Oryzias latipes: one gene and its partner. The protein of the gene in region 1 interacts with the protein of each later gene in a pairwise test. Links are inferred from orthologs where the notes say so. Each region holds a gene or a part of one and is shown on either strand. Other genes may lie near its edges.

Evidence for each region. The genes of interacting proteins can lie anywhere in the genome.
Region 2: the proteins of protein NPAT (region 1) and hinfp interact in a two-hybrid assay, tested with the Homo sapiens proteins (2 studies listed by BioGRID). The link is inferred for Oryzias latipes from reciprocal best matches to the Homo sapiens genes NPAT and HINFP.

Annotation. Positions count from the first base shown.
Region 1 is NC_019871.2:24,856,362-24,866,694, reverse strand, and holds the end of protein NPAT, read left to right. Parts: intron 1-365; coding exon 366-1,676; intron 1,677-1,762; coding exon 1,763-1,863; intron 1,864-1,955; coding exon 1,956-2,043; intron 2,044-2,163; coding exon 2,164-3,464; intron 3,465-5,948; coding exon 5,949-6,029; 3' UTR 6,030-6,453; downstream 6,454-10,333. Other genes in the region: vmp1 (vacuole membrane protein 1), read left to right, coding at 8,121-8,199, 8,509-8,641, 8,932-9,022. UniProt on the Homo sapiens protein: Required for progression through the G1 and S phases of the cell cycle and for S phase entry. Activates transcription of the histone H2A, histone H2B, histone H3 and histone H4 genes in conjunction with MIZF.
Region 2 is NC_019872.2:15,191,587-15,202,068, reverse strand, and holds hinfp (histone H4 transcription factor), read left to right. Parts: upstream 1-4,742; 5' UTR 4,743-4,855; exon of another isoform or gene 4,856-4,943; 5' UTR 4,944-4,945; coding exon 4,946-5,093; intron 5,094-5,173; coding exon 5,174-5,400; intron 5,401-6,584; coding exon 6,585-6,696; intron 6,697-6,862; coding exon 6,863-7,015; intron 7,016-7,095; coding exon 7,096-7,173; intron 7,174-8,102; coding exon 8,103-8,223; intron 8,224-8,312; coding exon 8,313-8,451; intron 8,452-8,519; coding exon 8,520-8,644; intron 8,645-8,721; coding exon 8,722-9,061; 3' UTR 9,062-9,261; downstream 9,262-10,482. Other genes in the region: dpagt1 (UDP-N-acetylglucosamine--dolichyl-phosphate N-acetylglucosaminephosphotransferase), read left to right, coding at 595-741, 1,013-1,097, 1,207-1,395, 1,484-1,571, 2,021-2,173, 2,256-2,321. UniProt on the Homo sapiens protein: Transcriptional repressor that binds to the consensus sequence 5'-CGGACGTT-3' and to the RB1 promoter. Transcriptional activator that promotes histone H4 gene transcription at the G1/S phase transition in conjunction with NPAT.

The DNA.
Region 1 (10,333 bases):
ATGGTTCCTACATGAAATCTAGTGTAGAAATAAAGTTTAAAGCAGCTGCAGAAAATTTACAGAGGGTGAAGATAAAGTTTACCCTAAAAAGTAACGGGAAACTGAAGACTTAAAATAAAAAAGTCAGAGGGGCGGTCCTTAATAAAAATTGTCTAGCGTTAAACCAGTTCGTGGCCTGAAAAAAAGCTTAGAACCACTGATGTAAAAGATGATCTGATCTGAATGATGATGCGTTCCGTGGATGACATGGATAACGTCTGGTCACCGTCCGCGTGTTGTGCTTTAACAGCTTTATTTTATTCAGACCTTATATCTACACAGAAAAGATACATTTGATGTTACATTTCCATTTTTTCCCCCTAAAGATCCTGTGCAGCAATTACAAGAAAATCCTTCTGATTCCACACCAGTAACCCTGAAGATAAAAGCTGTACCGGAGCGTCAGACCAGGAAGTCCACCGCTTCTGTCTCATTGAAGAAAACCGTCATTGACTCTAGCGGAAGGTCATCCAGGATAGAAAACAGCTCGGCCAGGTTATTGGTGAGTCATGGAGAGCACAGAGCCTCCTCGTCTGCCACGCTGGATCCCAAAAGAAAAGAAAAGCCCTCGCACCAAAATAACAATGGCGGTGAGGTATCCATGGAGATTTCTGAGACGCCACTGCCCACGCTATCCCCCACTTTGGACAGTTTGGCCACTCGGGTTAACTCGGAGGAAACCATCCCTTCTTCAGGTGCCATTATTAATTCAACCTTAGTCTCTTCATCAGAAGACTCTGCGCTGCCAGAAGCTCTAAATGTGGACAAGAATCAAAGTCAGGGATCCAATAAAAAGAATCCTCCTCCTTGTCTAGCTGTAAATGACCAGCTTGTTGTAGTGTCTCCTTTGGGAGTTCAGGAGAACAACACCCAAAGTTCAAGTCTTCAGTCTTCTGTGTCAGTTTTAGGCATTGGAGGTGAAGCTTTGCCAGAATCTACGGTCTCAGTAATGTCTTTCTCTACCAGCTCTACTGCTACAAGTGCCTCCGCCTCTTTAGTTTCCATCCCTGTGCTTGGAGCAGCTACACCTGCCCTAACATCTGTAACCCCTGCACCCCAATCCAGCACTCTGTCCTCACCTCCCTCTGTTGTAGGGAGTTATTCAGCCACCAACCCTACAACCCCTATCAAAGCCACAGGAGATTCTAGCAATGTAGTGTCCTTAAAGATCATCATAAGCGATAACAAAGATGAGGATACTTCCAAAGATACCACCTTAAATCGAGCCATTTCAGGAATCTCGGTGGACAAGATTCCCACTATCTACCTTTCGTCTCCAGCCAAGTCACCCGGAGGACCTGGTACTCCAAAGGCCAACTTTGATGAGGCAGCACAGGCGGTCCGTGGCTTGCAAAGCTCTGAAGCATTTGGCAGTCCAGCCAGGTGTCGAGCTGGAGCGATATCCACGTCTCCATTTGGTAGAACGTCGCATCCCCAGCAAAGATATATAATTCAGTTGCCCGTGGATGCAGCTAAACCTGCCATCCAGGAGTCTCCTGCCAGCTATTTCCTTGTGACTCCAACAGCAGATGTTCAAGCGAAACAGGTGCAGCTTCCTTCCGATGTCTTAGGACAGCCTCTGACAGCCAGTCCGTTTGGGCTAACCACACCAGGACTTACCGAAAGCTTCTCCACAGGTGAGAGACAAAACACTCAAAGGAAGGTATCATTTTTTCCACGTTTGCTGTTGTCCTTGACTGTGTCTTGGATTTTCCATTTGCAGGGTCTACAATCATCTTGCCCTCCGCTGTAAACCCTGTGGTTCTTCCTGTTTCTGTGGTGGGCCAGAACCCCTTGGGAAATGTGCAGCTGGTGTCCAATCAGGTAAAGGAGATTCTCTGTTTTTGTTAGAAAGAATAACGTCTGCTCTCCCCATAGCTGCACGAGTCGGTCAAAATGCGTTTGTATACTTGCAGCTTGTTGACGTACCAAACCCCATCCCGGTTCAGTCAATGGAAACACTGAAGCCCGTGACGCTGGCAGCCAAACAGGCTCCAAATTCCGGTTAGTCAATCTTTCTGTTGTGTTTCCTCTTTTTCTGATGGAGACCTTAACTCTATTTAGGTTATGTTTTGTTGTGAAGATGGATCTGAATTTCAATAATTGTGTTTATTTGGATTACAGGCATGTCAGATAAAAGCAGGGAAGTTCAGCTTAAAACCACAAACCTGTTTGATGCAGCAACGGGTCCAAGTCACAAACGAATATTGTGTTTTGAATCTTCTTCTTCTTCGGAAACTCCACCATGCAATTCTAAAACTACTGAAACCATCAAGTCCATGGCTCCAAATCCGTCTGGATCTAAATCTATTCCATCAGCCGATAAGGACAAAAGACATCCAGTCACCAGAACGAAACCCAATATTTTGGGTGGCAATAAACCCAAAAGGAGAATAGAGCCTGTCCGATGTTCAGGAGGTTCTCAAACTGGAGTGGACTCATTAAATGCTACAGTTCCTGTTCAAAAACCACAGAAAGAGTCTTCAAAAAACACTTCTAACAGCCAGAAAGTTGGCATTCAGAACAAAGAGTTTCAAAGTTCAAGTTCTTCAAGTGTTTTGCAAACTGAGGCTTCGAAAAAGTCAGAATTAGGAGAACTGTCACAACCTAGTGATAAGAATGTTGCATCTGCAGAAGAAACAAAAGCAGAAACCGCTCGGAGTTCGAGGTCAACATCATCCGATGGATCGGAAAGTAGAAAGGACAGAGAAGACGGAAGGAAAGAGGCAGCCGGGAAATCCCGTGAGGGCCGAGCAGAGAAAAGGACTCCGTCACAAGAGATGCCACATGTCACGGCCAACAAGGAAAACGAAATGCAAGAACAGAAGCAGCAACAGGCGACGACGTCTACTTCCTCAGAGTCCAGAGACTTCAGCCCTCCAGCCGCCTCACCGCAGACACCAAACCCGCAACCCAAGGTTGCAAAGACTCCATCAAAGACCAGCTCTTTGGCCAAGCAGGCAGCTGAGATGCTGCAAGACTTTCAAGGACAGAGGAGCTTGTCCACTCCGAGTAAGAAATCTGGAACGGTCAGTTCCACCCCTGGTCTTTATGCGAGTGTCCATAGCCATGAGGTACCTGCCGACTGCCCCAGGACACCCTCCCACCCTAAAAAGGGTAAAGATATCGAAGGGACCCCCAAGCATCAGTTAACTCCTAGAACCCCTGATGTTCCGACCTGCAGCCCTGCCAGCGAAGCCGGCAGTGAGAACAGCATCAACATGGCAGCACACACGCTCATGATTCTGTCCCGGGCTGCCATCGCCAGAACCGGCACCCCACTGAAGGACAGCCTGCGCCAGGACGAGGCTGGACAGAAATCACCTGGAAGTTCAAAGAATAAGAAACGCAAAGCACCTTCACCAACAGAAACGCCCTCTTCAAAGAGAGAGCTGAAACAATCTCCCAGTAAAAAGAAAGACAGGGTGAGTATGTTACTCTAGTTTTCTGCATTCAGCCACCAAACATCTAAAAGGAGGACTGTTAGAATCATCTACGCTTAATAGTTTTGGGAGTTTGCTGTAGGGCTGTACGGTGGTGTAGTGGTAAGCGCTCTGGTCTCAGCGAGAAAGCCCCTGTTCAAATCCTGGATGGGTTCTTGTGTGGAGGTTGCATGTTCTCCCCGTGCATGCACAGGCTTTCTCCGGGAACTCCGGCTGCCTTCCACAGTCCAAAAACAGGCTTTGTAAGTTAAATTGGCCTTTAGTGATTGTGTGGCCCTGTGACAGACTGGCGACCTGAGATGGCTCCATCACCATGACTCCAAAAGGGATTCAGCTTGTTCTGGGGATGGATGGATGGATGGAGTTTGGTCTAAACTTGGTAGACAATTTTAGAATTTGCTGCCAAATATTTCTATGGTATTTGAAAGCAACAAACAAGCACATTTTAAAAAGGAAAAAGGAAAGATCCAAAAAGGAGCTGAAAAATGTAGACTTGAGTGGAAGGTGCTAGTTGTCCCTGTAACCCTTGTGCTATCCTAGGCACTATAACATTGGGAGTTGGGTCATCTAGACCCACTAGACAGTGCTCTGAACCTTTTTCCTTCAATGATTTGTGATCTTCCCTGGTGTCCATGAATTTCATGAAATCTTTCCACCTTTATCCACCTTTGTCATGGTAGGGAGAACACGTCAATGTAAGGGTGGGTTCATCTAAGATAGCATAAGGGTTAACTGGCATCTACATCAAGGAGAAGGTATTTTGAATATATTCTGTTCTAAATACCTCTTTTTCTGCTGAAAGTAGATCGTTTTTTGGTTTGGTCCAAATTCCCTCACTACTCGTCAGCATGTGCACTTTTTTAGTATGTCCGTTATTTTGTCTCAATATACAATTCCAAAGTCTTAGTGCCCTGGTAATTTCCCAGAAGTCTCTGTAAACACAAACCGTGTGCATCAATGCTCACTAGATTGGCAAATATTGACCACAATGCATTGTGTTTAAACAATTTTCCTCATCAGAACATAGTCATAAAATGTCTTTGTAATAACATGTCCAGGGTAGCTTGCCATCTCTCGGTGGGAGGAGTGTCCCTGCCCCAGGTGGAGGAGTTTAAATATCTGGAGGTATTGTTCACGAGTGAGGGAAGAGCGGAGCGTGAGATTGACAGGCGGATCGCAGCGGCGTCCGTAGTTATGCGGTCGCTGCATCGGTCCGTTGTGGTGAAGAGAGAGCTGAGCCGAAAAGCAAAGCTCTCAATTTACCGGTCGATCTTCATTCCAATACTTACACTATGGTCATGAGCTATGGGTCATGACCGAAAGAACGAGGTCCCGAATACAAGCGGCTGAAATGAGCTTCCTCCGTAGGGTGGCTGGGCGCTCCCTCAGAGATGGGGTGAGAAGCTCGGTCACCCGCAGAGAGCTCGGAGTAGAACCGCTTTTCCTCCACATCGAAAGGAGTCGGTTGAGGTGGCTCGGGCATCTAGTCTGGATGCCTCCTGGATGCCTCCCTGGAGAGGTGTTCCGGGCATGTCCCACTGGGCGGAGGCCCCGGGGAAGACCCAGGACACGCTGGAGAGACTACGTCTCTAGGCTGGCCTGGGAACGCCTCGAGGTACCCCCAGAGGAATTGGAGGAAGTGGCTGGGGCGAGGGAAGTCTAAGCATCTCTGCTTAGACTGCTGCCCCCGCGACCCGGTCCCGGATAAGCGGAGAAGATGGGTGGATGGATGGATAACATGTCCAGATTTATTAGCTGTTTAATTCATATTTGGTGTTTAAAACAAAATGTATTGATATCAAATGTGTTTGAATTTCATTAAAATCCAGGGTCCTACACTAAATAGTCTTTTGGGGGTGGGGTTAGACTTATTTGATCTAACTTTTTTTTTTTCCTTTCTAACTTGTCCTGTCCAACAGCTGAGCAGACAGATGAGAGCTGAAAGTTTATTGTGTTGGACATATTTTACTGTTATAATAGGGGTTATAAATCTTCTGACACACTAGGAATAAACCTCTTTTGTAATTTAGGCTAAACTTTATTCAACTTACTTGTATCTGTAACAGTCTTTTGTTGGACCTGACGGAAAAGAAAAGAAGGGAAGAAGAGAGAGAGGGATGACAAGGGGGGGGGGGGTTTAAAGAAGAGTGGGGTAGAACCGTGAAGCAGCATAAAGCCAGTCAGATTGAGTCACATTGAGGGTGTTTTGTCTTTCTTTCTTGCTGTATCTTGCTTCTCTTAAACTCCTGGGTTTAGGTCTGGAAAAACTCGTCACTAAGAAACATTTTGATTTTTTTTTTTCTAATTTACAAGAGATCCTGAGCATTAACTACATAAATGCTAATATTTCAAAAGAAAACGGTGTATGATTAGTCATTTTATGCTAATAGATTTTTATTTTATCAAAGTGAATGCTTGTTAATGTTTCTGCCAACTAACACCGCTTTGTTTTGTGCGTTTCTACAGGAAAGGAAAAAACTGATGGATTGCTTTCCCCATGATTTGGATGTGGATAAGTTTTTGTCTTCTCTTCACTATGATGAATAAAATGGAACAATCCGGCGGGACACCAGAAACCTACAAAACCACAACACTTTTTAAGTTAGAATTCAGGAAGACACAAAAACCATAGTCCAGCCTGTGTCCGCGGTTCTGCAATCTATGGTTCCTGACTCCAAATGACTCGTTCTGCCACGGCCAAGATGACTGTTTTACCGTGTTAATGATGTCAGACCAGCTAACTGTCTAAATACACCATTAAACTATTCCATCAATGTGTTTTTTCTAAAGCATGTAGCCACTGCAAAGTCCAGATCTAACAACAATTCATCTTCTGTGCTAGTCCATCATTCCTCACCAATACAGGATCTTAAGATGGGAGTTGAATATTGTTCCACTTTTTTGAAAACATGGGGAATTGGCACTAAAATAAATCAAAAGTATAAATAATAAAAGCTTAGTGTGTGTCGAATTGTATTTTTTCTTTACGATGTATGCAGCAGTAGCTGTGGCTTGTGTTTTAGTCTATTTTGTCAGTGTTCCATCATATCCATTTTTTGGGGGACTGACGTAAAGAATGAACATCTTTAACAGATGACGCATAACATTTCACTGGTCAATATTTGACTAACAGGATGGTTTGTCATACTTTTTGGCAAATCTTTCTTGCATTAATTTAAAAAAGTCTGGTCAAAAGTTCTTGAGTGTATTTGAAAAAGGTTTAATTATTTAAGGAATGTGAATAGCTTTGTAGTTTTTCTTTTTCTTCCTATCCTGTTATGTGTTTTTATTTTTGGCTTGTGAAATAAAAATACCTTAAATGCGATTTTATTTTTTTATTTGTAATACTATATGCAACAGTATGACCGCAGCAAACATTTTCTCTTGTAGGGATTTTGTCTTTTCTCAGCCCTTGAAGTTGGAATGGAGACTAAAGAGGTTTGTGGATGTAGAGGTGAGACATATGGATGAGGAGGGCGACCTCTAGGGTGAAATGAAGGAAGCTGGAAGGAGACTTGAGAGGAGAGTAGACTAAAAAGACACTGGTATGTTTTCAGTTCTGATTTTGACTGTTGGGGGGGGGGGGGGGGTAAATATTGTGGAAGAAAGGTCATTTGTTTATTACACTGCACTGTAGAAACAGACAATCAAAATACCTCCTTGCTCTAAAGATACGCAGAGTAAAAATAAGATAATTCCTGGGATAAGAAATCATTTAGCTTTTTTTTGTTTGCAGATGAATAACGATCATTTTGTACTAATCATTTCATGGTTCAGTTGTGCCGCCTGTTAAGTAATAAAAATGAACTTAAATAGCTTGTTGATTAAATATTGGTTGGGAACAAGTTGCCTAACAAACACTGAACAGTTGTTTTTCCACACTAAATGTATACATTGTTTTTGCCTTGTCATTATTATTAGGTCAAACTTGTAACATTTTGTTCTCGAACCTGGCGACCTCGGATTGGACCTCCGAACATCAATCTACGGAAATACGTCTCATAACTCTCCTTTCAAAACAAAATTCACCTCATTTGGTGTAGGCTAAAATTTTTATTTTATTTGTGCAAAATAAAACAAAACTAAGTCACCGATGATTGGTCAGATATTTTGAGACGATTGATAGCCTCACACTGACTTGATAACGTTATCTCCCTAAGTCTTTTGTGAGTTGAACAGGAACCTGTTTTCTTTTGACACGTGCTGAATTAAGTTCCGGGTGAAGAAGACAGGAAAGAGGTACGACAAGGATATTTTAACTAACCGCATAATTTTTATTATCTTAGTTAGCTTTTGTTTTTGTTTTATAATATTAGGATAAAAATATATGTTAATAAACAGCTTGTAGCTTTCGGATAGGTATCTTAAACTTGACTAAAAGCTCGTTTATTTTGGTACTAAAAACGCCGGTGTCTGTAGCTCAGCTGTAACATGTTAGCTAACCGGTTAGCGTGTGGAGGTTTATGATGACCAGGCATTTAGCTCCGTATCTTCTTACAGGATAATTTATAGACGGAGAACTTCTTCGGTTTACTGCGTACAGTTGGTGGTACTGTGGGACTCGTTTGAAGCCGAAATAAAAACTTGTCACCCTCTTTTCTTTTTGTCCAGGACGTGACCTGCTTGCCGGTGATTGACATGGCAGCTAATGGAGCGAACTGTGAACAGCCTCAGAGACGGACCGGGACTAAAGATAAACTCAATGGCAAGTCTGCAGGTGAGCTGGAAAACTTTGAAGTACTTGTAAAAAATATGAACCCTCCTCTGCTCTGTAATTCTTCTTTTAACGCATAAATGTTGACTAAATTGTCCTCTATGAACATTCCCATCAGTGAATGACACGTCACAAATGGTTGAGTTTGGGTTTCTGTTATTTATTGATGAGGAAAACGTGCCTCAGTTTAGGAGCAGGACTTGCGAGTTCCATGCACTATGCATTTAGAATTGGTGGTTACTGAGGATGTGAAACCCGCTGAACCAGTTGGGAATGCAAAATCTCCAATGAACTGTTGTCTTTGTTTGACAGAACTGTCGGTAAGAGAGAGGCGGCAGAAGGACAAAGAGGAGCGTCTTTCCCTGGTGTTGTGGAGAAGACCAGTAATCACTCTGCACTACTTTGTTCTGGAGACACTCATTAAACTAAAGGAGTTGACTTTTAAGTAAGAAATGGATCAGTTTTACACAGTTAAGGATTTAAAAAAAAAAAAGCAAAAACCTAGTGATGACTTTTTGTCTGGCTTGTCTTTTCTTAATTTTTGGGATATTTTAACACGATTTCTTTATTATGTGGGTTGTTTTTGAATAGCTTTAGATGATGAAAATAATAGAGGCTTACTTTTACAGTAGATTTGTCTTTTTAACATTCTTTAATGACATTTTAATGAATGAAAGTTTCCCTTTTTTCATCACCAATGGAATACATCAATCTTTTTTCCTTTTTCACACACAGGCTTTGGCAGCGGAGAGGCATAGTGTTCTTACTCCTGGTCTTATGTACTGTCTTCTATATTGCGTATTCCTCCGAGGGAACACACCAACATGTAAGGCTTTACTTATTTGTCTTTTAAATGTAACGATTAGACCCTGTTTACTCATCCATGACAGATTGAAGGTTAATGATAAACCAGATTTTATCGCTGAAAATCTGTGATGCAGAGCATTTGTGCTCAGATATGGAGCAGCCTGCACTGTTGTCATGTAACCCTTGATCTGACTGTCGGCTGGCTGAAAGTTCAGTTTACAGAAACGTCTTTGCAGCAAACGGTCACAGCTCGGTTAGAGCACCCCCATGCTTTTCTCTACACCAACTTCAATTTACAGAATACAAACCTGCAACAACATAAGTTTGACATGAACAGTACAAAAATATTTATGAAGTCTTTTACTAATATTCTCAATTTTTAGGGTTGTACTTTGTGTGATTTGAATAATGTTGCAAAAATATAAACTGACTTTTAGGCTTGGAATTTTCCAGCCACCCAACATGAAGACGAAAAACCTTTTCAGACAAACTTTGCATTTTGATAGTAATACATTTTTTTCCCTCTGTCCCTTTTTATGTTCTGAAGACCACAACACATTTTTGCATTTATATTTCTAACATCTAGAGTGATTTATGTTCTTAAAGCTTCATTTTCTAGACGAGGCCTGCTCATTCATGGTCCTTGCGATCTAGCACCCTGCTTTTTTTTCCCCATTTCTCCCTGCCCTGCGTGCTGCTGGTCACCTGACTCAGCTGTGTTCATTCACTCAACATGAGGAGGCACCTGATTGATCAAATCACCAGCAAGCAGGGCCTGGAGATCTGGAAAACAGACAATGGTTGTGTCGGAATTCCCTCACTACCTAGTGCACCATAAAGGACGTACCCCATTTTATCGGGATGCCCAAATCTACAATTCCAAAACCCAGTGGAAATTTCCCGAACGTTTCTGTGAAGAACCAGCGCGCACCAACGCTCACTGGAACAGCGAATATAGACTACAATGCATTGGGTTTGACCATTGGGCATCTGAAAAACATGTTTATAAATGTGTTTCTTATAAATTATCCAAATTTTCATCAGCAGTACACAGTGGATTCATAGATAGTCATAAAATGTTCATATTTATAAGGTTTTTATTTTGGGAAATTGGTGATGCCATATGTGACATTAAAAAAAAAAAGTTTAAAAAGCAGTGAGCGTTAAAATCCAGATGGTTCTGCATTATATAATCGTTTAGGTGTTGTGGAGAAGTGAGGGAACAGCCAAAGCGGTAAATCTCAAGGATCAGGAGTCTGCGGCCCTGTTGTAGATTTTATTTTTAAATCACAGAGGAAATCCAAACTGGGATGTAGATGTGACTGTGCCA
Region 2 (10,482 bases), on another chromosome or scaffold:
TCCACGCGTTTCCATGGTGACTCCAGAAATCGGCGATCTATTGAGAATGTCTTTATGTACCGTGCGTTAACCCAGGGTTACCAAGTCGAGCGTAATTACGCCAACTCATATCCGGTCTTTTGGAACCGACATACCAAGAGTAAGCAAGTTCAGGCGGATTTCAGCCAGAGTTCAGGCTCAAAGTCAGGCTAGTTTAAACATGCTTCCTGGAATACCCCCCTGCTCTCTGATTTACCCAAAAAGCCTCTTTCAAACCTACAGCTATTACTAGGTTAGTAATATTATTATTAGTTATTATTATTATAACTATTTTTGTTCTATGTATTATTATTTTTATATCCTAATTTTTTTGTATGTTATTATTACTATATACTGTTTCTTTCTCCAGTGCTTCCTCTTGGGGATCCATTGTTCTGGGGCACTACCAGCTCCGCCTGTAGAGGGTGCTGTTACTGTGGTCCCACTCTATAGCTGTAGATCGGGCCCTAAGCTTCTGTGTTGAGCGGGCGGTGTGGCAATTATCCCCTGTGGTCAGATCAATTGTAAAATATGGAAGTGCAGTCATAACATTTAGGTTTTTCTCATATTCTGCAGGGATCCTCTACTATGTCTACATGGGAATGCTTGCAGTTTTCTGCACAAATGCCATCAACATCTTAGCAGGCATCAACGGTATTGAGTCTGGTCAAGCTCTGTTTATCTCTGGCTCCATCATCATCTTCAATCTGCTAGAGCTCAGTGGTAGGGGGATGCTTTTCTCCTGTGGAAATTATAATTAAACTGTAATCCTCATTTGCTTGTTTTGTTTTTAAATATCTTACATTATCAAGTATAATTTATTTATACATTTCCACTTCTCATAAAAGAAGAAAGTTAAAATCAACCACTGTACATATAATCTGTTAAAATGTATAAAATAAATATCAAAATCAGAAAATTAAAATAAATAACCATAGTTTCTTTTTTTTAATTCTCCAAACATAAACCATATATTTTGGGTTTTCTTTATCAGGTGATTATCGCGACGACCATGTTTTCTCCCTGTACTTCATGATACCGTTTTTCTTCACTACCTTAGCCCTTTTGTACCACAACTGGTGAGTCGTACCGAAGCCGTTTTACCAAATCAGATTTCTGTGTTTGGAGGTCCAGATGGATATCAACGGCTCCTGAGTTAATTTGTCGACTTTCGCTTCATTTTGACAGGTACCCCTCATCCGTGTTTGTGGGAGACACTTTCTGCTACTTTGCCGGGATGACCTTCGCTGTTGTCGGTATCCTGGGACACTTCAGCAAGACGATGCTCCTCTTCTTCATCCCTCAAGTGATCAACTTTGTCTATTCCTTGCCTCAGCTTTTTCATATTATCCCTTGCCCCAGACATCGGCTCCCCAGGTTAGTTTTACTCTTTCATGTTCCTTTACATGTTAAATTATTCGTTTTCTTTTTTTGATAAGTACTTCTTTGTTCCTATTTCTGAAAGACTGAATCCAGAAACAGGAAAACTGGGAATGAGCTATTCAAAATTTAAACAGAAAGATCTCTCCAAGCTGGGAAACCTAATTTTAAAGGTGAGTCTTCTTTCTGCTTGTTCCTGTCTTGATACTCCTATATTTGGGTTGTGGAAGGTACAGAGAGCAGGTGTCTGAGCTGTTGCCCAGAAAATCCTTATGAGTGTTGCTCAGTTATTGCTGTGGACAGGAGGTGAATTGTTTCTGCTCTACTTCACCTGCTATGTTTGTGTGTGGTGTCAAAAAGCAGTGGGATTATTCAGTTACATGTTTGAAACACAGCACCAAAACACTCTCAGGAAATGAAAATCGGATGCAATAAAAACAGTTTTAAGGAGAACATGTTTGGTATCACAGATCGGTTTCTGACCTGATTTTAGACTCACTGACATGTTGTTTCCTTACATTATCAAAAGTGTGACTTTAATAAAGTAAAAGTTGGGATATTTATGCTCATGGTCTGTAGATGTTTTGGCTTTTCTGAAAATAATAGCATTGATTCCCATTAGGTAGCAGAGTTATTAAAGCTGCTGGAGGTGCGACGGGGGCAGGAGGGAGATGATTTTATTGAGTGCAACAACATGACTTTAATAAATCTAGTGATAAAGATCCTGGGACCCGTCCATGAGAGAAACCTCACAGTCATCATGCTCATCATACAGGTATGGAGGTGACCTGCTGCTCATGTTCTGCAAGATCTTTGATGAAAGTCACTTGACCTGCTCCTGTCTGTGTCCTCTGCAGGTGTTGGGCAGCGCAGTGGCTTTTGGGATACGTTATCATCTGGTGCGACTCTTCTATGATGTCTAGACGGTTCACAAAGAAACGGCAAAAAGCAAGCACACTGAGAAAACTTCATATGTTGTGAAACTATTGGAGGGCTTCTGGTTCATCTGTTTTGGATTGGACTCTGTTGCTGTTCTGCCGTTGACAGTAGTACATCCAGACATATAAGGGTCTCACATAAAGATTTGCACTGAGTTACAGTAAAAAACAATGCACTTGCCTATCCATCTGAAAAGTATATTTTCATACTTTTTAAGGACAGTTCAGTAAGTGGGGACAACTTTGTTCAATCCAGCTAAAATCTTTGGCTGAATTTGCTCTAATATTGTGATGATTTATAGAAAGAAGTTTTCTGAAAAGAAAATCAAACATACATGTGCAGCATGCTTTCACAGAGTCTTCTCCAGACGCAAAAGATCACAATAGTGGTCACTGTAAGAAAAAAGCCAATAAGCTTTTTGTGTTACTAGGTGGGCACAGGTAAATCCGGAGTGGGGATTAGTAAAACCTTTTTTAGGGTGAAGGGTGTTGAGACAAGTGAAATGAATGCAACTGTTCTGAATAAAACCCTTAATTATTGATTTGAAAACATGCTTTTCAATTGTTTCTCCTTATCATTTTTCAATAATTTTACATGCAATGCATCCAAGTGGCATCCAATGCCAATGGGAAGCCACTTGCACAAGTGTCCATCAAATGTGGGATATACCAAGGTGATGCTCTGTCCCCACTGCTGTTCTGCATAGGTTTGAACCCTCTCAGCCAAATAATCACCAAGACTGGCTATGGATACCGACTCAGAAATGAGTCCTACATCAGTCACCTCCTTTACATGCTACAAGCTAAGAGCAAGCGTGACATTGACTCGCTGATCCACACCACCAGGATCTACAGTACTGACATTGGGATGTCATTCGGGCTCGAGAAATGTAGCCGGATGGTGACAAAGGGAGGCAAGGTAGTCCACACAGGAGGGGTCTCACTCCCAGAAGGAACAATAGCAGACATCGAGGACAGTTACAAGTACCTTGGAATTCCACAGGCAAATGGCAACCTGGAGCAGGCAACAAGGAAAACTGCAACAGCTAAATACCTCCAACGAGTAAGGCAAGTCCTGAGAAGCCAGCTCAATGGCAAGAATAAGACCCAGGCAATAAACGCACTGCCAGTTATCAGATACCCTGCAGGAATAATAAGATGGACAAAGAAAGAGATACAGACCACGGATGTTAAGACACGAGAGCTCCTCACCATGCATGGAGGGTTCCATCCCAAATCCAGCACCCTGAGGCTGTATGCTAGCCGCAAGGAAGGAGGCCGAGGACTAGTGAGCGTAGAAGCCATTATCCAGGATGAAACATCCAAGATGCATGAGTACATCAAGCTCAAGGCCCCAACTGACAGTGTGCTCAGTGAATGTCTCAGGCAATGGAGAGCAGAGGATGCAGTGCTGGAGGACAGATCCTCATGAGAGGGCAAACCCCTGCATGGAATGTACCACCGGATCATAACTGAAGTGGCTGATATCAAGAAGTCCTATCAATGGCTAGAAAGGGCTGGCCTACAGGACAGCACTGAAGCACTCATCCAAGAAGCTCAGGAACAAGCCCTGACCACGCCCTGAGAATGAGAGGGCAAAGATCCTGTGGGACTTCCAGATCCAGACTGATAGGATGGTAATGGTGAACCAACCAGACATTGTAGTGGTGGATAAAGAACAGAGGAAAGCTGTTGTGGTGGATGTGCCAGAGCCAAGCGATGGGAACATCAGGAAGAAGGAACATGAGAAACTGGAGAAATACCAGGGACTCAGAGAAGAATTGGGGAACGCCTGGAAAGTGAAGGTGACAGTGGTGCCTGTGGTGATTGGAGCACTCCGGGCAGTAACCCCCAAGCTGGAGGAGTGGCTGCAACAGATACCTGGAAAGACCTCAGACCTCTCAGTCCAGAAAAGCGCAGTGCTAGGAACAGCTAAGATACTGCAGGACCCTCGAGCTCCCAGGCCTCTGGTGGAGGACCCGAGCTTGGAGGAGAAACCACCCGTGGAGGGTGAGAGGGGCGTTTTTATTTTTAAAGAGGGAGAGAGAGAGAGTCCGCATTTTTTTATCATGCAGATCACTGTCTGGCTTTATTTCTTTTGGTGGACTTTACATATAAGAATAATGAGGAAATTCTAACTATTGAAGCAACGGAGAAATGCATTTGACAGTTTTATAGAGGTAAGTGTGAGGCCTCTGATGTTTCCCAACTAAATCAGTCTTGTGTGCCTGTTGATTTTTATATATATATATATATATATATATATATATATATATATCTTTAGTAAACTAAGACTTGTAAGTTAGTTTTTACTCCTATACCTCCAATTAAAATAAATTAAATAATAATTAGATGTTTTGATAAAAGTCAAAAGAAAATAAACACGGTTGTGACGCGGAACTATACATTTACACTTTGTTTCTTCCGGACCAATGTGTCGCACTGAGTTCCGATACTGAAAGAACTCGTCTGTCATCCTCAAAACTGTGTTTGTAATCACTTTTATGAAGATATACCTGGTAAGGTAATTTAATAATGTGTCACTTTTTATCTTTTTAACGACGTTTGTTGCAACCTCGCGATATTTGGTGCATCTCTGACTTGTAGGGATGCCACTCGTTAAACGCGTGAAAAAGAAAACGCTTAAATTGGACTGTGAATGGGGCTCATGTCAGGAGACGTTCAGTCGAATTGAGAAGTTCTGCGAACACGCAGAAGCTCATCTGACCGCTCCGAGCATCGATGAAGATGCTGACGGTATGTTTAAGTCTACATGGAGTACTTGTTTACATTGAGAGTTTTGGTACTTATGTCATCTTTTTGCTTCTCTTGTGAAGAGGAGAGGAACTGTCTGTGGAGAGACTGTGGCTTCTGCACCGTGGAGGGATCCGGAGAGCTGCGGAGGCACGTCTTCTTTCACTGTTACCACACAAAGCTGAAGCAGATGGGTCAGCAGGTCCTCGATGCTCAGCCGGAAGTTGGCAATTGCTCCATCGCTCAGCACAACCGCAACATCATCCCCGAACTTCCAGACAACTTTGTCTGCCTCTGGGAGGAATGTGATGTAAGACCCACTGCGCTGATTCATTTTTAGGTCATGGTAATCAAGCCGTTTCAACCTCTGATTGGTACTATGGAGCTAGAAGTGTTTTCAGTTTCTCTGAGCCTTTGGTAGAGGTTGGAGAACTACATTGGTTCTGACCAACCAAGGAATGAAGATAAAATAATCTGTAATGGAGCAGATACAGAGGACAAAGGTGACATCAGGAGAAGAATAAAAGCCAGCTGCAGGGACGTTAAGGGTTACCTTGAGACGGGCTCCCTTTATCCCTTCCCAGTGTTAGTGAAGCCTCAGTGACAGTTGTTTGGGACTTTTGACCTAAAAGCCTTTAGGAGGGAACTCATCAATGCATTCTAAGTATGCGATAAAGGCAGGTTTATAACATACAATGTATATATTGACTGCAAAAAGAATTCATCAGCTACCCGGGGAAAATTTTCTTCAATTATTTTCCGTAAGGGTGACTACTGTTCCCCTTTAACATTTTATTTGTCGACATTAATGTTGTTAAAGACCCTCTTTAATCATCTTTTGATCTATTTTACAAACATTTCTAGTGGTCTTTCAGTCACGATTTTGCTGTTTTTAGCCAAAAACCTTTGTCGTTTTCAAGGACATAGTTTCAGCAGAGCAGCAGTAGTTCATTAGAAATTCACCTCTCTGAGATGTGGGCAACCCACCCACATCTGCCTACCCTGTTGCTGAGAGATCTCTGTTTACATGCTCTCTTGCTATCCTGCAGCCCCTCATACCCCCCCCCCCCAACCTAACATTACAGATACAACAAAAAGTGTGAGCAATATTGGAGCTATATGTCATCAATTATAAGAAAAATGCTGCAAGATCATGCTTAAAGAACGTTTCTGGTTATTGTATTGCAGATGAACAGCTGACTGTGTGAGGGCTTATTTTTTATTTATTTTTAAGTGAGGACATTGACTAAACCAGGGCTTATGAATCAGAGCCACAAGTGAACAAAATTACTCAGAAATGTAAATTTCCAGCATCTTATCACTTTGAAATATCGGTTAAACAGTTGGAATTTTTTTAATGCAACATCAAAAGTCTCCTTTTATAAAGGAAAAAAAAATCTGGTTGGCTATAAGTTACGATTATCCAATGCCTTTTTTTTTATAATGCTTTATAATGCTTTTTTTTCCATTTCCCGTGACCCGCATTGGTCAAAGCAACCGCCATATGAAAACCCAGAGTGGTTCTACCGTCACGTGGAGATGCATGGTCTGGCCATAGATATCCCACAAGGGGAGTGCGAGTTCCCCATACGCTGCAGATGGAAAGGTAAGAATATTGTAACATAGTGTAAACCTGTTTGCTTAACTGGAGTTTTTCAATAGATAGATAGATGGATAGATAGATAGATAGATAGATAGATAGATAGATAGATAGATAGATAGATAGATCTATTTAGAATGTGAAATGGTTAAGTGTTAGTCTTGTTGTTCAGATTGTGAAGCCACTGCAAAAGGGCGTCCCAAGCTGCGAGAACACCTACGCAGCCACACACAGGAGAAGCTGGTGGCCTGCCCAGGCTGTGGAGGGATGTACGCAAACAACACCAAATTCTTTGACCACATCATACGACAGAGTGCCATGGAAGGTGAGCTAAGCTATTTAGAAACTGGGTAGTTGGCAGCATGATCCCAACTTGCTTTCATTCTGTGCGTGGCTTTGTCGCAGGTCAGAGGTTCCAGTGTTCTCACTGTTTTAAACGGTTTGCAACAGAACGACTGCTGAGGGACCACATGAGGACTCACGGTAAGTTTCCGTTAGTCTGAGTCCTTAAGACAAGATCATTTTTCAACACTTGAGCTCAGTCACTAAAGTATATACTATAACATCTATTTATACCTATTTAGATCCTAAAACCTTTTTACATTTGACCAGAATTTTACTTAATAAAGATAAAAAGTAACACATTATTAAATTACCTTTACTTGCTTCTGTTTGATAATCAAGCGAATCATTTGTTCACACATTGAGTTCACTTTGATTCTCACCATACATCATTGTTTCTCTCCAATACATTTATGTATTTTGTACCCAGAAATTCTTTATTTTTAATCACATTATCTGACGTCACTGGTAGTTTTTATTTAGTCAATCAAAAATCTTTAAACCATAAATTTCTTAGAAAAATTAATTCTGTTACACTTTACTGTCATTTGTGTTTATCCTTGTCCAAAGTAAAAGTGGAACAGCATTTAAACTGACCTGCTGAGTTTTGTTCTCACTACTGTCCTCAATAAATTGTCACGAATAAAAATCAAAAGCTCCACAGCTGCATTCTGTAGAATGAAAGAAACTGCATCCACTGTTGCCAGGAAAAAAAGCTGAAAAGGGTGCTTCTTTTTTTACAGCTAAAGTCACACTTTTTGAGCATCTACATAAATCCAAAAATTCCTGATGGCCCTGTTGGCAAACACCACAACAGATGCCAGTCCCATGAATTGAACACAGAAGTTCTACTTTCTCCCTATAGCCTGTTTATATAGTTCCTGACATCCGTGGTTCTAAGCACCTTCCAGAAGAATCTAAATTGAAACAAGGTCAAGGCAAGAATTCAGTTTTGGACCGTAAATCCTATTGGAAACATGTATCAGGCTGTTAAAACCAGACAAGCCATCGCCTTCAAAAGCATCCATATATTAATTGTAGTTTTGATTTGTCTCTCATTTATGGAACAGTGAGTCACTACAAGTGTCCCTTATGCGATATGACCTGCCCAACGCCGTCGGCTCTCCGCAGCCACATCAAGTTCCGCCACAGTAACGAGAAACCATACAGCTGCGACTACTGTGAATACAGGTATCGCCTGCTATGTGGCTGTTTACATGAAGGAGAAGAGAGGGCTTTTAGATGTACAGTTGAAATTTTTATTTTTATTTCAATTGCAGCTGTAAGAACCTAATCGACCTGCGCAAACACTTGGACACTCACAGCAGTGATCCGGCGTTCCGTTGTGACTTTCCCGGCTGTAGTTTCGCCTCCCGTAATCTTGGCACCATGAAGATCCACTACAAAAAAGAGCATGAGGTTGTGTGGTTACATGTTTTTATCCTCTTCAATTTGCATTTAAATAACTCTGTTTGTTCCTCATGAAGGGGACTTTTACAGCTCGTTACAAATGTCACGTGTGCGGCCAGTGCTTCACTAGAGGCAATAGCCTCACTGTTCATCTGCACAAGAAGCACCAGTTCAAATGGCCTTCTGGACATCCCAGGTTCAGGTCTGTTTCTAACTTGCATCAATGTAAATAATATGCCTGCTTTTGGTGTTTATGGGTGTTTTTCACTGTTGTTTCAGGTACAAAGAGCACGAGGATGGTTTCATGCGACTGCAGCTGATTCGCTATGAGAGCGTGGAGCTGACGGAGCAGCTGATGCGGGAAAGGCAAAAGCGGCAAACAGAGGAGGACACTGGCAGCGAGCACGCTGAAGATCAGGAGCTGGAGGAAGAACCCATGGCAGCTTCAGAGGTGCAGGTTGAATTAAGAGGGGTGCTGCTGGAGGAGAAGAGGAATGAGGAGCTGAACGTTGGTGCAGAAGAAGGTGTGCAGGAAGAGGGTGTGTTATACGTCCTCTCAGAGGGAGAAAGCTCTGTTCTGCTGGAGCTCCAGGACACCACACAGCAGCAACAGATGTAGGTGGACAATCTTGATGCAAACAGACGTTGGTAAAGCTGTACTGTATAGAGAATTTATGGAAGAACACTTTTTGTATTATTTTGCTTACTAATTTAGAGTATAGTGGCAAGTGTTGTTAAACTCTTGTATTCAGTGTGTGAGTTATTTTCTTTTTTCTTTTTTTTGGAGAGAAACTACAGAATAAAAAATAAAAAAACATATTTGTCGACAAATGCTTAAATGACAAACAGTACGCACATTAAAGTACAGTACAGACCAAAGGTTTGGACACACCTTCTCATTTAAATGAATGGGAAGGTGTGTCCAAACTTTTGGTCTGTACTGTATGTGTTGAGTGTTGGTGGATCTGGTGTACTCGTCAAAATTCAGTGTTCAGTAGTTTCATCTTTTTATTTTCCCATATCAAGTTTTATTTGGTCTAATGGCTGAAGTTGGAGAATCTTTAAAGTTATTTACCCCAAATTTTCACTCTGTCTTTGACCCTAAGCAGTAGGCGGCAGTCACAGCCACGCTGTGGTGGTTTAACCCTCACAACCAACGCTCTAACCCTGAGCATCAAGCAGGGAGGTAATTCTTTTAAAGTCCCCTTGGTATGACCTGACCCTGGATTTGAACCCCAGACATCCTATTTTATTGCATTGTAATCATGTTTCCTCTACAGTATAAATAAAATAGTTTACAATTAATACATATGACAGACTCTCAACTTTTCACTGTGTAAACCCCCTGAGTTAATCTATAACAGGCTCTAAATCCTTCTCCACGCAACCACACAGATTAAGAAAAGTAGATTTAAAAATGTAAATAAGTAAAATGTAAGTAAATACATACGACTGACTGAATGCATGGATTCATCTCTGAAAACAAATGACATTTTTATAAAGAACAGACGCCTGTTGATTGGTAAATTGACTCAGCCAATCAGTGATTTCACTTTAATGCAATGACTTTTCTAGGATTCCAAGGGGGCTTCTATGGGTATATTTTCATTTTGCGTTAGTCGAGAAGCTTTTGGATTCAAAAAACGAAAAATGAAATCCTGGCAAGGCCAAGTATAAATGCTGCAAAACCGAATTATGGTAGATAATTTACATTAAGGTAATTATGATGATTTTTTTCTCTGTGTTTATCTTTGATTTCATAACTAGTATACAAAAAGCTTGTTGTAAAGGAGTTAGTTTATTGTGTTCAGCTGCTCCTTTAGTGTTTCTTTTTTGTACAAACTAAAGTTTGCCCTTATTCATTCATTCATTCATTCATTCATCTTTTAAGCTGTTTTGTCTCTTTTGGGGTCACGGGGCTGCCGGACAGTTCGCCAGTCTGTCACAGTTTACCTGTATGTTTTCTTAAAACCGGTATTGAACTTTGAACTGGAGCTCAAACATTATAATGCATTTTTTCCTGGATGTATTTGACATTTC